3 linked regions of the Arabidopsis thaliana genome follow. The protein of the gene in region 3 interacts with the protein of the main gene of each other region in a pairwise test. Each region holds a gene or a part of one and is shown on either strand. Other genes may lie near its edges.

Evidence for each region.
Region 1: the proteins of MNP (region 3) and JAG interact in a two-hybrid assay, tested with the Arabidopsis thaliana proteins (one study listed by BioGRID).
Region 2: the proteins of MNP (region 3) and AGO10 interact in a two-hybrid assay, tested with the Arabidopsis thaliana proteins (one study listed by BioGRID).

What each region holds. Positions count from the first base shown.
Region 1 is NC_003070.9:25,683,755-25,688,262, forward strand, and holds JAG (C2H2 and C2HC zinc fingers superfamily protein), read right to left. Parts: upstream 2,442-4,508; 5' UTR 2,179-2,441; coding exon 2,177-2,178; intron 2,115-2,176; exon of another isoform or gene 2,085-2,114; coding exon 1,990-2,084; intron 1,822-1,989; coding exon 1,693-1,821; intron 1,607-1,692; exon of another isoform or gene 1,487-1,606; coding exon of another isoform or gene 1,459-1,486; coding exon 1,374-1,458; intron 1,240-1,373; coding exon 789-1,239; 3' UTR 560-788; downstream 1-559. UniProt on the Arabidopsis thaliana protein: Controls the morphogenesis of lateral organs. Functions in lateral organ shape and is sufficient to induce proliferation and growth of lateral organ tissue.
Region 2 is NC_003076.8:17,608,790-17,616,748, reverse strand, and holds the start of AGO10 (Stabilizer of iron transporter SufD / Polynucleotidyl transferase), read right to left. Parts: upstream 6,006-7,959; 5' UTR 5,744-6,005; exon of another isoform or gene 5,388-5,743; intron 5,374-5,387; exon of another isoform or gene 5,167-5,373; intron 4,905-5,166; 5' UTR 4,811-4,904; coding exon 4,328-4,810; intron 4,134-4,327; coding exon 3,922-4,133; intron 3,843-3,921; coding exon 3,559-3,842; intron 3,472-3,558; coding exon 3,362-3,471; intron 3,273-3,361; coding exon 3,166-3,272; intron 3,088-3,165; coding exon 2,949-3,087; intron 2,864-2,948; coding exon 2,747-2,863; intron 2,658-2,746; coding exon 2,550-2,657; intron 2,469-2,549; coding exon 2,274-2,468; intron 2,171-2,273; coding exon 2,011-2,170; intron 1,925-2,010; coding exon 1,803-1,924; intron 1,720-1,802; coding exon 1,582-1,719; intron 1,504-1,581; coding exon 1,361-1,503; intron 1,282-1,360; coding exon 1,219-1,281; intron 1,137-1,218; coding exon 1,073-1,136; intron 983-1,072; coding exon 847-982; intron 760-846; coding exon 686-759; and 5 more. UniProt on the Arabidopsis thaliana protein: Involved in RNA-mediated post-transcriptional gene silencing (PTGS). Main component of the RNA-induced silencing complex (RISC) that binds to a short guide RNA such as a microRNA (miRNA) or small interfering RNA (siRNA).
Region 3 is NC_003074.8:18,909,176-18,913,151, reverse strand, and holds MNP (GATA type zinc finger transcription factor family protein), read right to left. Parts: upstream 2,206-3,976; 5' UTR 2,041-2,205; coding exon 1,522-2,040; intron 1,152-1,521; coding exon 783-1,151; 3' UTR 544-782; downstream 1-543. UniProt on the Arabidopsis thaliana protein: Transcriptional factor that specifically binds 5'-GATA-3' or 5'-GAT-3' motifs within gene promoters (including its own promoter and GATA21 promoter), thus regulating the expression of genes mostly involved in hormone responses and floral organ specification (including genes regulating hormones responses).

The sequences.
Region 1 (4,508 bases), on a different chromosome or scaffold from region 3:
CTTACACTTTATATGTTATAAAATGTCCTTTTTAATTTTGATTTTGAACAACCAACACCAAATCCCATAAACCAATTCCCTCCAATCCCCAATCCTCATAGCTAGCTTCAAGCCAAAGTAGCTGAGAGTTCTAGATGAGCTCAGATAAAGGCTGTTCCAATCTCACTACACATTGTATCATATATTATCAAGACAATCTCTTTCTCTCTCTCTCTCTGACCAATTAATTTGTCCGGTTCCTCTCTGTCCTCTCGTTGTTCTCTAATAATATATATATTGCAAAAGCTTTATTTTTTGCTTATAGTAATCACTTCCATTGTGTATCCATAAATGGAAACTTTGTTAAACGTTTACCTTTTAATTTATATCCAATAGTACACATCCATGATGGTCCCTCTCATCTTCTATAACTATGTTAACTTTTCTCTTAAATGAATTGATTTAACATCATTTGGCATCAGCGATTCAGTACGATAATTTTTATATTTTTGTATTTATTCCGCACTAAAATCAAGCACAACACAAATCATAATGGTAGATATATGATATATCAATAATAGACATAAAACAAAATCCGGTTGTGAATAATTAGAGTATTCGACTAGACCAATAAAAACCAACAAACATGTCATTATGATAATAACACATGTAGGATCTTGGCGTTTAGACAATTCTAGATCTCTACTTTTAGATAGAACCAACAAAGTTACAAAACAAGAGGACAAGAAAATACCCAAAAAAAAACAAAAAAAGAAAAGAAAAGAAAAGCGTAGAGAATCTATTAAAACTCAGAGCGAGTGATGATCTTGAAACCGATTGATGGGGAACCTAAGAGAGTGATCCAAACGCTGTCGTGAAGCGTCACCATCACGACCTTGTGGTGGTTCAAGCGGCGCACGGACGATGCTTGGGCCACGGATAGGGAAACCGGTCGGACCAATGGGTGCACCAACACAAGTGTAGCCCGGTTCCACGGGACTATCGGCCATGTAATCAACGGTGGTGGTGGTGGGGAGGTTAGGACTTGGAGAGATGCTTCTGCTGCCTCTAAAAGATGGGTTTAAGTAGTAGTCGTTGAAGTGGTTGTGAGGAGAGTATTGGTTTGAAGAGTATGGATATGGAGGCGGTGGTGGTGGCATCGGCGGTTGCGGAACCAAGTTCGTTGAAGAGCTTCCAGGATATATCATTGGTGATGAGTAAACCGACCGGTATATTGTTGGATCTGTGGTATGATGATAGCTGCAAATAATTACAATTATGATTCACCTCATTCATATGATAATAACTCACATAATTACATAAAAAAATGATGATAATAAGTACATTGAGTAACATATTATATAATTTTGAAATTTTTTTGGAAGAGAGAGTACCCGAAAGGAGAAATTCCAGGTGGGGTTATGGTATCGTTACGGTAGACCAATTGACGAGCTTGATTCAATGTCTCGGTCTCCCTCTCTTTAGGTTTATAGAACCAAAAGGACATCAAACTAATTTTAGTCTTAAATGCAATTAGTTACATCTATCTACTGGTACTTAGTTGTAGTCAAAGCATGGATGTGACATCAATCATTTATCAAAGACAAAGAGTTATATAGAAAATTTGGGTTTATTTGGACGAACTAAAAAGTGTGAATATGATTATATGAAAGTTAAAAGAGGTTGAAGAAGAGTGTATATAAATGGACATACCTTGTCGGTGGCGATTCATGTGGCCACCAAGAGCTTGGGATTTGCAGAACTTGAGTGAACAAAATCGACATTCGTACACTTTCCCACTCTCATCTTTCCCTTCTTTACTCCCTTTCTTCTTTCTTTGACCTAATTAATTACCAACACCAAATAAACCTTCACATTAACAATACACACACTAATAACTATATACCTCCATGTTTCATATATATAAAGTTAAAAGAATATATTTAAATTAAAATATATATATATATATATATATATATAAAGAATTAGGGTTTTTCATGGTATGCATACCAGAGGAAGAACCTTCCTCGAGGGCTTGCTTATTGCCATCTTTAGAAAAATCATCTGGAAGATTGTTGAGGTCTAAGTAATTCTCCTCATGCCTCCTGCCAGAAATTTCAAAAAAGAAAGTGTGAATTTAAAGATTAGGAAATTAATAGAAGATAGAACTAAGAAAGCGATCTTGTGGGACATATACATAGTGGGAAATGAGAGATTGGCGTGAGATAAGACTTCTCCCGGAGAGCTAGAATAATTGAGAATATATATTAGAAGACTTTCAGTTGGAGGCGGCACCACAAAAGGAAGAGAAAAACGAATAGAGAGTAGTAAAAGTTAAAGAAGAGAGGTTCGAAAGTTTTCTATCAGTTTATCTGCCACAAACCCTCCCTCCCATCTCTCTCTTTGTTTCTCTCTCTGCGTGTGGAAACTAAATTAGCAAAGTGGGTCTTGTGACCTTAAAAAGAAAGAGGTGGTCATGTGGGCTTAAGGGGGTTTAATTAAACCAGAGAGAAAGTGTTTGTGTGTGTGTGCATGTATGTGTGTGTGTGATGAAAGAGAGAGATGAGAGGGACATTTCCTGAGTGAAAGGAGATGCTAGGGCTACTACCCTAGAACCCTATTACTGTGCAATTAATTCATGTTAAAAAAGACAAACCCTTAATATTTTAAGAACTCTTTTTCTCAAAAAAAATCAATGAGTTTTGGATCTTTTAGTTGTGAGATACATATCATAGGAAAAAGAAATAGTAAAAAAAATTCCTTTCAACTAGTTAAAAAATCAAACTGTAGATAGTAAAAACAAATTCCCAGTTTTGAAGAAATGACTGTTATTGTAGACTTTTAGGGGATACATGAATAAAAGAAAAGTTATGGGTTGTTCTCATGAAATCAACCTCAAAATTTCACACATAATAGAAGGAAACGTTAAGTGTAAGCTGCACTTGATACAGAAACTTGAAAGAATATGCTAAACGTTGTATTTTAGTTAGGTTTGATTAATATAAGGCGACTTAAAAGAAACAAGAGTAGTACTTTATCAACAATGAATTAAATGTGGAAAGACACATCTAGCGAATCATTGTCTCTTGATAAAGAATCTTTCATGAATAGTTTGCAGCTCCAAGATGGTCCTTGATGAACTTGTGATCCTCACTTAAACACTCAGAGGAAAGAACCAAGTAACTAAAAGAGAATAGATTTTATACTTTTAAGGACAATCCGAGACATTGCTAGTTCTATGGTCCTGCTGCTTTGAACATTACGTTTTGAGAAGTTTTACAATAAATATTTGTATATAAATGTAAGAAAATAGTTAGCTAGTAATGGTCCCCCATATGTAGATGTAATGTTATGCTATTGCTAGGCCTCTCCTGGGGCATCCACATCAAAAACAAATTTCTTTCAAAATTGTTTTTTGTACCCTAGGGTTTTGCAAATGGGTCATGCAAGTGTTGCTATCACATAACTAATTATTAGGGTCCTTTGTGATCTTAAGTTAGATATGCATGTCGTGTATTATCCCTACCTTCACATTACTTGTTTTTATTCATTATTACATGGTTAATATAATCTAGTTGTAACTTGTAAATAATCCAAAACAATGTAATTCAATCAAAAGTAAAACATTATAATGCTATCAAGTTCCCTCCATACCACATGCTATTTATACTGTAGACATGTTTGCAGAACTAACGTAAGATCTATAACACTATCCTCATCCATAAAAGAATGAGATAGATTAGTGTCTCTTAAGTAGATACTGTGAGATTATTTACATTTCACAATTCACTCTCACGGAAGCGTGCGAATCACGTGTCAAGTGGCTTCAAGGTCAAAACTTCAAAACTCAAAGAAAAAAAAAAGTATGCTCGTGCCGACCTACAAGATAAAAAGGAATAGTATTTGTTTAAAAAGTCAAGCCCAACACCGTTATTTCACGGCGTCATGTTTATATGATAAGCAGAGTATGAATGGTGACGAGACGGAGATTGATAATTTCGAGTTCATCAAATCAACACAAATGCAAAGCCAAAGCCCAATCATAGTCGACACTAGCTAGGAACATCTTTTCTTTGTCGTGTTTTTTGGTCATTAGTTAGACTTAGATATTCTTAATTTTGTAATAATCATAAGATATGTAACCATAATAAGAATTTTGCATGTGGATAATTGTAAATACACTAAGACCAATATTTTACAATCTCGCCAATTAAATTGCACACCATCGTTTATAGTTCTCTTATCATTTTTGTATGCTTTTTCATAATTTGGAATAAAAATTCTCAACAAAAATTTTTCAGAAAATACTTGTAAGTAAGTATAAGCGAAATCATTTTACCAAAAATAAAAATAATAAGAGAAATCAATAAAACAAATTCTTTAATTAATTTTTCTTTTTTGGTAAGATGTTAATGAGTTAGTATTAAACTATTAATGTAAATTGTAAGCGAAATATTTGTGTATAAAATAGACATATATAAGTTGATATTCGTATATAAATAATTTTGACATGATCAATAACTTCTATC
Region 2 (7,959 bases), on a different chromosome or scaffold from region 3:
AAAGTCACTGCATCAACGTTATCATCAGCTAAAGTACAACTTTAGAAAAACCCTAATACACTAATTCCTAAAGGCTTAAACCAAACCGACAAAATTTACATAAGAAAAACATTGGTAAATCTAAAGCCGAACTACAAGCAAACAACCAAACTACTTATTAAAACTGATTAAGGAATGTTTGGATTTTTAGCAGTAGAACATTACTCTCTTCACATTCTCCTTCAAGGCTGGTAAAGGCTTCACACCTACGTCTCCGACAGTTGTTGTTTTCGTGTTCTTTTTACCCGGTGATCCGTTGTCTTGCATTATCTCCGGTTCCAGGTAGAAACGTGCTCGAAATGCTGCAAGATGAGCATAATACGCTGGAGGAACTGTACAACATCAGAAAATAAAAGAACATATGAGTTTGCTGATTTTCGTCATATTTGCGGGTACACGAAGAAGAAGAAGAAATGTTGTTATTTACCTATAGAGACCGACCGAGTGCACCGCGCATAGGTATAACAGAGATTGTTAGTCAGAGATTGAATACCATCTGCTGTGAAATTGTTCTCGTCCCAAAGAACATGGTAATGTGCAGGCCTGCTTGTTCCCTAGATCATACAACAAACACAAACAGTGTCATTTTATCTGTATAGTTACGGAAAAGGTCATATTAACGGATATTTCGATAGTTGTTTCGTACCTGAATACCCGCATGGCTACAAAGGTAGAAGTCGAATTCAGTTGGATGACATATTTTAGTGTCAACTACAGTACCTGAAACAAAAGGTGGCAAAGAAGCAGTTAGTTAGTTAGTTAATTATTTCTGTTATGATCTTCTTTCAACCGTTTTTAATAACTAACCTGGTAAGATATTTCCGCTTCGGTCAGTACTGTTTTTGTCTCGGTGATTATTAGCAAACAAACGAGTGTGGTGACGCTTCTGTACAACTATGAATGTCACCGGTGGCTGATAATTCGGTTCAAGCGATGCACAAGCCTAAACAAACACAAACCCGTTTCCGATTATGTAAAATGTTTTGCTAACTTTGTGGCGGATTCATTTCATGCTATGCACAAAAGTTTTTACCTTTCGAATTGCATCCAACTCATAGAGTAAAACTTGATAGAATTGCCCTTCGCTTACTCCATCACTGCGCGAATAAAACAACCATGAGAACTAATTGTGGGTTTTAGATATAATTCTTTTACTTAAATGAGCAAAGAGAGACTTACCGATAAAAGATAATTCGAAGCGGTTTTTGCCCTGTTGCTTTTCTAAATGAGATAAGAAGGTCCCTGTAGAAAGCAAGCAAAAAAACCTTGAGATACACCGATAAAATCAAACTACAAAAACCGAAATATTGCGAGTTATTACCTGATCATACCGCCACTAACAGTACCGCGAACAGGATCTTGCCATGTTTTATACAAATCTTGTATAAGTTCTTGCCTGTGAGCTTGAGCACAAACTAAACCCGCATATTTTGTCACTTCAGGCCAGTCTTGAGAAGCAACAACCTAAAGAAAACAAAAGAAAAAAACTGAGTATAATGAATTTCGATGCTCCACTACTTGATAAAAGTGTATAATCCTTACAGCAGCGATTGAAGGGCTTGACTCTTCCCCGTTCTCTGGGTGAGTCACGTCTGCGCCAAAAATGATTGTCGGTATATCGCTAACCAGTGGTATTCTACAGCTTATGGCGTCTACTAGAACTGTGTTCCTTCCTCCCATCTGAAACCAAACATAGAAAGATCTGAGATTCATAATACTAAAAACAATCGAAAATCTTCGATACAGCAGTAAAAACTATTCACCTTTACGTTGATTTTAAGGGATACATTTGCCAGATACTGTTTGCTAATCTTGAACACATGTTTTGTGAGACAACATTGAGATATCAAACCAAGCTCGGTTTCACAGATTCTCTTAAGATCACCTGAGATTACAAGAAACATTTCGTTTTCATCAAAACCATTACTAAAGAAGGCAAAAGGGTTAAGTTTATGGATGTCGAAATAATACCATAAAGTGAACCGTTGTTATCAGGTAATATTGCCAGCAGAAGCTCTAACTCTTTGCCTTTGGTTTTGTTCATTGAAGTGTGATAAACATGCTTTAGAGCTTTCTCGACTTGATCGGGCCTCGCACTATATATTGGTATCACGGGTTCTGGATTAAACTCCTACAATGATAAACGAAGCAAAGCTTTCTGATAAGAATCACATCGAGTTAAAAGAGAATTCAAACAATGCAACAAGAAAAGAAAAAAAGATGAATATTATTACCATGCCTGAGACTTCACACATCTGACCAAGTTCATTACAAAATCCACGAGCAACGTTTTCTTGAACGCTGCGTGAGAAGTTAACACAGGCCCATCTGCTCACAGTCATCCCGTTGATCATTTTCTTGTTCATCATATTCCACTGACCAACTTGCGGGAGACAATCTTTTTCTTTCCCGTTCTCGTGATACTTAAGCTGTAGCAAGCAAAGAGAGACGAATTAACATAACAGTATTCTCATAGTATGAGCATTCAGAGATCTGTTTAGGTTTTTTACCCATGGAGCTGGAAGAATACGAGCTTCAACAGAAGCTAACTTTTCGCTTATGTTCATGCCAAACTCCTTTGCATATGGATCTTGATCATATGCGTTGTGTTGGACAGTCTATAAAACATTTTTGACAACAAGATTAATCCTCACTTCTAAGTTCTAACTCACAAAGAACCATATAAGATACATGACTAAAAAAATACCCGCAAAATATCGTTTTCTCTGTCCCTCGGCCTTTGGCATGTAACTTTCAAGAGAGCAGTAATCTGCTTCTCATTCAACCTTTTCGTGTACCGTTGTCCCTCGACAATTTTGCATGCCTACATTGGAAATTGAATCAGCGAAAATAGCCAAGAGCTGAAATGTGAAGTCTTGAAACAAACAAACCAGCAGTTTACGGTTTACCTCCATCGGCAAATAGCTTGCCTTCTTTTGGTTTCCAACTTGGAGACATGGCAAATGCGTGTGCTGGATCGTGAATCCATACATCTCTTGGAAATACTCAATAACTGACTTCATAGTACAGTTCTCATCTACTGGAAACCTAAGAATATAAACCAGAAATTAATCTCAATGAAACAAGCCTTAGTAATCAAAGAGTAAGTAAAAAGAAAATACTCACATTAGCTCTCTTGTTGGTTGAGTTGTTAAACCCGCAACACGGTATTTCCTTCTTACATTCGCTCTGTGAGTAACCTCTACTTTCACTCCTCTAAGACCCTTCTTAATCTGTTAAAAATTCCCAAGAAAAAAAACATTCTTGAGGAAACAATCAAGGACTTGAGACAAGATATAATAAGATGAAGAGACTTGTGTACCTTGACGCGATCAGAATCCGACAATGGCTTCGACAAGACATCCTTTCCAAGAAGCTGTGCTACAAACTCTATCACTGGAAGAGGCTCGATGAATGCAGCTGAAGCCATATCTACAAAGTAAGGAGAATAACATTAAGATTGGGCTGACTTATAAAATAAAACCAAAACTGTAACAATCTCTTAAGTCAAATCTTTACCGATATTTAGTGATAAACCCATTTGAGTTGGTCTAATACTCTGGTAAAACCCACACCATGACTCTAACCCTTCACCGAGTCGCTGCGGTGTTTTAATATCAGGCGAAAAGAAAGATCTTCCAACGGGACAAAACCTCTTAACCGACAACTCCCTGAGTACAATATCAAGAATCTGCACCGCCTCTTGCGGACAATCTGCCCGTTTACCAGCTAGAAACTCGCCTAAGTGATGCATATTTGCCCGTGCAACAAACTTGATTGCCACCTTATATGATCTCTCCCTTCTACAAAGCAAAATGTGTCAATTTCAATATAAAACTACACATAACAAAATCAATCACCTAAAGAACCTTAGACACTTACTTAGGGCCATTGATGATACCGTCATCTTCATCAACAATCTTAACACTGAACTCCTTCCAAGTAAAAGGAAGTTCTCCAGCAGTGTAAAGACTTTTCCGGCCATCGTAAGCCGGAAGTCTCCTCCCGAGATCAGACTCTTTGTAAAGTCTAACTAACTCAGCAATTATAGCTCTGTTAACACTCTTTGATGACACTTCAGGAGTAATTGTAACCTGCAAAACATTAACCAAATGTCAATGGACCCAAATAAGCAATAAGAACAACATTAAAATCTAACTCTCTCTCCTTCATTAAATTTCAAACCTTTTTTCAGGAAACCATCTAAAGGTTCAAGCTTTGTTTCTCATTACAGCAAAAACTAAAAAAAAGGCAAAAAAAATCTTAACTTTTTCTAATAAAAACTTACATCATACTGATTCAAATCCTTGGTAGGCAAATCAGCGAGAAAGTGGTTAGCTTTAACAATGCATTTAGTTCCAAGTGTTCCAAATCCAGGTCTTGGAGCAAAGTTTGAGTTTTTACGAACACCCATCTGCATCTGATGATTCACAGCGACAATCTCACCGGCGGTGGCGACGGAGACGGCGGAGGAAGTGGTTTGACTTGGCGGTGGCGGTTTACGAGGACGAGAGCTAGGTCTCATACAAACATCTCCTTGATCAGATTTTCTTCCACCACGGTTTCTCCTCCGGCTACGATTCTTTGACGGTGGTGAAGGTGAAGAAGCTTGACTCTGAGTAACCGTCGCCGGAGTAGTCACCGTCACCGGAGAAGGAGAAGGAGGAGGGATTTTACCGTTTTGAACGGTTTTTGGATTGTGGTGCTTTAAAGGTTGGGTTTTGATAACTAAGTGAGTCTCAGAGCTATCTTTCATTTGCCTAATCGGCATTTTTTGTTGTTTGGATTTTCAAAAACTCTTTTTCTCCACTACAAAAAGAATGAAACAAAACTTAAAACTGATCCCTTCCTTGGCCTTATTCTACCTGCAAAATCATGAGGATGAAAGAAAAATAAGTACAAACAAAAAATAATTATAAGAAAATGTCAGATTGCATTAAATGGAGAAAATCCAGAAAACAAAACCATGATGATGGTGTTTTGGGTTAAATTTAATAATAAAAATCAAAACTTTGAAACAGTGAAGTAAAAAATGTTGTTGTTCTAGTTTCTTCTATTACAAAGTTTCAGAAACCAGAGAGGTAAAAAAAAACAGAGATTAAAACAGAGTCTGAAGTATATACATACAGTGTTACAGAGATAGATGTAGTTTTTTTCTCGATAAAAAAGAGAGAGACAAGAAACCATGAAATTAGAAGAAAACACTGTAAAGACCAAGAATAAAAGGAACCAATCACCAGAAGTTTTTTTTTTATTTTTACAGTTTTTGTTTTCATTAAGAAGAATCACAGACAAAAACAAGGAACAGAGATTAAAGCTTTAAGTGAAATGGGGGAAATTGGGAATACCCAGAAGACAAAACCGGAGAAAGCTTTAATCTTTTGTCTCTATTTGAAACCGGAAAATGAGATCCCGGAGAAAACCCAAACAGATAATTACAAAGATTTTAATCGAAAAATCGAAGCTTTTTTATTTTAATTTTATTTTGCTGTGAACTTTGGTGTGAGAGAGAGAGAGTGAAAGATAAAAACTAAGAGCAAGTGAACAAAGTGAAGGAATAAACATCGAAAAGAGCAGTGGAAATATCAATATCTCCAAGAAGAATGAAAATTTTATTTTATATAAGTGAATTTATTGCTACGGAGAGAAAATGACCCGTCCGCTATATTAAAAAGAAATACAGTAAAAAAAATAAAACACTCACCGACCAATGAAGAAGAAGAGTGACGCTAGAGAAGATAGCTTTCCTCTCAATGTGGAGAAAATATCTCAGTAGGAAGAGAAAGAGGAAGATGATGATGATGATGATGAAGACGAAGAAGAAGAGAAAAAGATTGATTTTGTGATGTAGAAAATTTTGAGAGAAATTTATGTCTTTTAAGGACGCATGCAAAAGAGGTTTGCTTTTGGGGTTTTGGTCTCTTTTAAAAATCACGTGTAAAGAGGCTTTCTTTCTCTCTCTCTCCACCCGCAGACTCAGGCTCTCAGCCTCATCTCAGTCTCTCTTTTTCTTTACTCTTCTTCACTTTTACTAATAAAATGAGAAATAAAGTTTGTTTTTCTTTGGTTTTACACTTTGCTAATAATGAATGTTTCATTAAGTACAAATTTCTTCTTTTTGATAAGCACAATGTGTTTGGTTTATGGCAGCAACTATTTATTTATGGATGGTAATGATCAGTTAGTTATTTTTTTTTCGTCTCTTATTACATCATTGTTACAAGATGGTACTATAATTCTCTAATCTTATTATAAAAAATGTATATACAGTATTGTTTATGCATAGCAAATTTAAAATTTAATTAGTTTTTTACAATAGATAAAAATACAATAAAACAATTTAACAAACGGATAGTTTTACCATTATCAGAAGAATCAAGGATGGACGGTTTTTAACAAAGGAACACGGAAAATGATTACATACCTGATGTAAACACAAAAAGTTTCACTTGGTACTTGGTATAGAAATATTGTTCATCTTTTTCATTTGAGTTGTCAAACATTGTTTCATAACAAATGGTTTAAATAGAAGCTAATGGATGTGTAGCCGTTCACGAACTCATCTAATCAGATAAACGTTAGTTGTGTATATCAACAGTCGTCGGCATTGTCATTGTCGTCATTTGGCTCAACCTAGTTGTAGAGTTAAATACTTAAATCTAATCTTAGTTGTACGTTTGCGCCATCTATTTAAACGAAACAAAAATTGGACTTTTGATGTTGGAAACTAGTCTAGGTTAGTTTCCGCCGGTGAATGTGGATTGTCTAGTTTGTGATAAAGTGTTACAACTGCAAATTAGCATCATCATTAAAATGTACTACTTTCCCAATTGCTCCTAATTGTATACTTCGAAATTGGGCTTAATTAATAGAGAAAACGACTAGACCACGACTTTGCATGATTACACCCTTTACTATTTTTGTGACCATTTGTACATATTTATTGAATTAGATTTTATTGGATATGTATAGACAGATTTCTTTATGTGTCAGCTTATTGCAGCTGCTTAAGCTTGATGGCCACTTTCTTTGTGGTCCGTTTAGTACCACTAACGTAGTGTATGTATTTATACATACATTTATATAAATTTACATAAGAAATATTCGTGGAGAAAAATAGTAAATGGTTTACATGTAAGAAAATACATAGTAAATGTTTTATATTTTTTAAAATAATAAAAGCAAATGATAATTACACACACGGAAGAAGGAATAATTCGAACTTGCAGTCTTTTCTTTTCTTTCTGCAGACCCCATTTCGTGACTCTACTACAACCTCATTAATTTTGTTTTCTTCCACTATTTTTTTTTTTCTTTTGTTTATAACATACTCCATGAGACTACATGAAACGTCCGATCATAAGAAAAAAAACCTACATGAAACAAAATTCATTCGAGCTATTTTAACTTTTGACATTGTTTTTTTTTTACGAACTTGGCTCTAAAACCTTCGATATATCACAAAAACAAAGACAAAACTTTGGTAATTGATCTGTAGAATTCCACTTATTTTTCAGGTTAGAATATACAGTTCAAAGTTTATTCAAAACATAATACTAGTCATTGAATAAATTTAGCAAAAATTAGTTTCTTTAGAAAAATAAGTAAATATCAAAATAGTTTAATATGATCAATTCGAATACAATGATATCTCTATAAGCTACAAGGTTCCTTCTGGTACGAGGAAGTTGATAATTAGATATGCAAACCACCGGCCTATAATTATATGGCTTAAGTTAATCTATTAAGGAATGTATTTTTTATAGAAATCTTGTTCAAGGAATGTATTTTTATAGTAAACTTGTTCAACTGACTCGAGTGTGATATGTAACGGTTGGTAGAGATCTTTTGGCAGCAAATGGGAGAAAGTGTAACGTTCTTTACATGGAAATAAAAACAAAGAGGATGTGATTTTCATGC
Region 3 (3,976 bases):
ACAAAAGGTCAAGAAGAGAGGAGTGAGTAAAGGACAAAACGACGGTCAAAATATAAAGGAGGAAGAAGCAGAGCATAATACGACAAATATATGTTCATTAAATCACTACAATGCTCTCTGATCCAAAACTGAAAACACAACAGTACCAAAACCCACATTGGTACGATCAGAATCTAATCTCTCCCCAATTCGACGATCAGATTTCAATCTTCACTACCAAACACCCTAATTTTTATTTTATTTTCTCTATTTTTTATTAACCAATAGTAAGAATATTATTATTATTAAAGTCTCAGTTGTGAAATTCAGGGACTCAGGTGGAACTGAAACTTCTCCGTTCAACTCTAAACTATATACATTAAAAGAGTTATATCCTATGTCTATATTTTTGGTCTGTGTGTTTTCTCTTATGCACATCTTTCATTTTTTGTTTTTCTTTCTAATGTTTTGATTACATCTGTAATGTTTTATGACGATCACTGTGTAATCAATAGAAGAATCTAACTATAGTGTTTATTTTATAGACTAGAGAAGAGAAGATTTCCATAAAAAGAAGGTTATATTTTTAAAATAAATATTAGAAAATGATTTTAAAAATTGACCAGAACGGTACTTTATAGATAAACCATAAGTTAGACCGTCACTATCAATAAACATCAACATCGTCTCTCGATATACACTTCTATTTTTTTCAGAAATATTTTCTTGGTTTTTTTTTAATTAGACATAATTAAACCACATGGAAATTTTAAGAGAATCTAACGTCGTTTTCTATTCTCCTTTCATCTGGTAAAGTCATGGACAAGACTTGCCCTATCCGCTACATTAAGCCTCCAAGAAAGGAACGGAACACCGCCGTGAGCACCGTCGGATTCAACGTTGTTTGCTACTCCACTGCCGTAATCATCCATGAACCTGATCTCATTTGCCGGATAATTACACGGAACCCTCTGCGTCGAGTGGTGATGAGCCCACGGAGTACCATTATTATTGTTGTTATTAGTGGCAGCATGGTAATTATTGTAGCCAGAGTTGTGATGCCCGTACTGGTCGGTTTGAACCGGTGCAGCTCCGACGACGGTGTTTCCTGTAGCCGCAGTAGTTCTTCTCTCTTCCTTCTTGAAACGAATGCCGCATGCGTTGCATAGGGACTGCAAATTCCAAAACCATCCATATCATCATTAGCCATCAATATATCTTATATTTAATGTTCGTTCAATACATAAATCTCTATATAGTGATGAAAATATTCGAAAAGAAAATAAATTAATGTCTTTTATTGAAATATCTGTTTTAAAACTTATATTCAAGTAAATTTACTGAACCATCAAAATCATTATTTAATGTTTCTTTCAATAAATTAAACTATAGAGAAAGGGATTTATTGGTTTTAGTGAAAAAACAGATAGGCAAATATTCAAAACAAAGGGATGAACTGTCTTTTTGGTTATTGTAAATCTTCATTTCATGTGTTGATTAAAAGAAGTTGCATTTTAATAAAAATTAAAATAAATAAGTCACCTTAGGGCCTCTAGGACCATTCCTCCATAGTGGAGTAGAAGTAGTGTCACAGTTGGCACAGCGTCTAGCGAGAAGAGAGTCACCTCCGCCACCGCCTCCTCCGCCACCACCACCACCGGAACAACCGCGACTTGGCTTGTTAGCGGAGAAAGAAGGAACGTTATTGTACGGTGCCGTTTTGGAGTTGTTGTTTTTGGTGTGAATCAAGTCCCAAAAGTTGGAGATGCAAGAAGAAGCACCAGATGAAGTAGAGCGTCTACGTTTCTCATCTTCCTCACAAAGCCTCGTAGAAGGAGTTCCAAGAGAGAGAGTGCAGTCAACGAGGGAGGAAGAGTGATGATAGTCCTCACCGTTCTGCTCGAAAACGCCACCGTTTTGCATGGAGAAGACCATCGAGTAAGAACCGGCGTTGGAGTTGTTGTTGTTGTTGTAGCAGCAGCTTTGGCTATGGTGGTGGAACATTCCACAAGAATGACAATATTGCCCCTGCGTTGAAGTAGTGTACGGAGTCTGCATCATCGCTCTTACACACTTCTCTCTCTCTCTACTGGTTTGAAAACCCTAAGTGTAAAATTAAGAGAAGCTAAAGAAAATATGAAGAGATAAGTTCAGTTTGCAGGTTTCACGTTGGAGTGAAGTGTAGAATGGAGAAGAAGGTCTCACACCTATATATAGAATCAGAAATGTATATGTACGCTTATATGCAGGTTTATATTAATACGAATAGTATTTAAAATCAATAGAATATGTGGGGACGCAGCTTTTTACGAAGTAATATTAATATATCATTTACTCAAATGGGTTTTCCTTGCTTTTTTATGTTTTATTAATTACAAAATACGATGAACGATGATACAGTATCAAGTTTCTTTAGGCAGCCAAGTTAACAAGTTAAAAGATATTTTAATCACAGTTTATTTTTTCTAATTACATAACACATGCTTGGTCTACATAGAGTCTGTGTCACTGTGTGATTGTTTTGAATAATTCAACTAAAATATCCCTATTTCAAGTACGTTATGGAGTTGATTAGCTTTTAGATAAGGATGCTAATATATGAAAATGTACCGTACATTATGAAAATGTCAGTAGTAAATAAAACAAAATATGATGGGAAGTAAAATAACAAAAAGTCGAAACTATGTAGAAAAACTGATCTTGGTTTAAAAAGCGAAGGGTTTGCTAGTTGTTGGACACAAAACTTTCAATCTAAAGATGAATAGGCTCGGTAACATATGCTAAAACAAAATCATTCATTGCTAGCTTCCAAATATCATAGATTGAAGTTTGGTTTAAGTAGATATGGTAAATCTTATTGTGATGGTGAAAAACATACGACTTTTGGACCATCAAGCACACAACTCTTATTAATTCGTTATTTCTTTTTGAAGCAATTATTATGTCACTCACACACGAATGTTTACTTTACTAGAACTATGATATTGTATGAAAAAATTGAAATTATCGATTTTGTGGAGGAAATTTAACAGAAAATAAAAAACGTAGAAGAAGAAGAAGGAGAGAGTGTGATGCGATGTTGATGGTCATTGAAGAAGGGTGGTCAAAATTTAGCCCACGTGACAAGGGGGAGAGAAGAGGAAGAAGAGTACAGTCATCACTGCAAAAATCTCCGATCACGAGGCTCATATTTTTATTTTTATTTGTTCTCTTTCAATATAATGCTATAAAACCTCTGTCTCTTTCCGTATCTCTGCCCTAAAACCCTGAATCTCACGCGCTCCTGCTCAGTTGCGCGTGGCCTCGTCCTTTACTTCTCCACATCGCAATCACACGTTCGATATCTGCTCAGCCTCATGTGGTTAATGATGATCCATGATGATGTAAGTAAAATGACTTAGATTTGGTTATTAGATTTCTTCAAAACTTGCAGCTAGCTAGAGTCTACTCTACTCTTGTCGTCAACGAATACTAGTCTTCGTCCCTATACAGAATTATTTTATTTTTTTGGGATTACGTATGTTAAATGCTTTAACTACTGTTACTAATAAAACCCTATTTTTATTGAAAACATGGACTCTCGATTGGTTGAAAAAGAGCTTACGCTAGGGGATATAATGCATTGGCCGATCTAATTTTTTTTTTTGCCGAACACTATTTTTTGAAAATTTTGTAATCAAACAAATAAAAGAAAGAAAGTGTATATTCAAAAAAAAAAAAAATTAAAAGAAAACTGTTGAAATAGTATATGTTTGTACGTTATAAAAACCGATCAAGAAAAAGATGACGGTTGTCCAAAAAAAAAAGGACCAAGATGCTGAAATCACAATTCATGTACTGATAACTAACACTTCACAGGGACGCGGTTAACCGAGTGCTTTGATATCTTGTAGTTGTAGATAATGTCTTGTTTTTCTATATCATTCTCTCCAATTTACTTAAATGCATATTGGGCATGTGATCAAGATGATTAGTTGCTCTTTTGTTTTCTTCTGTA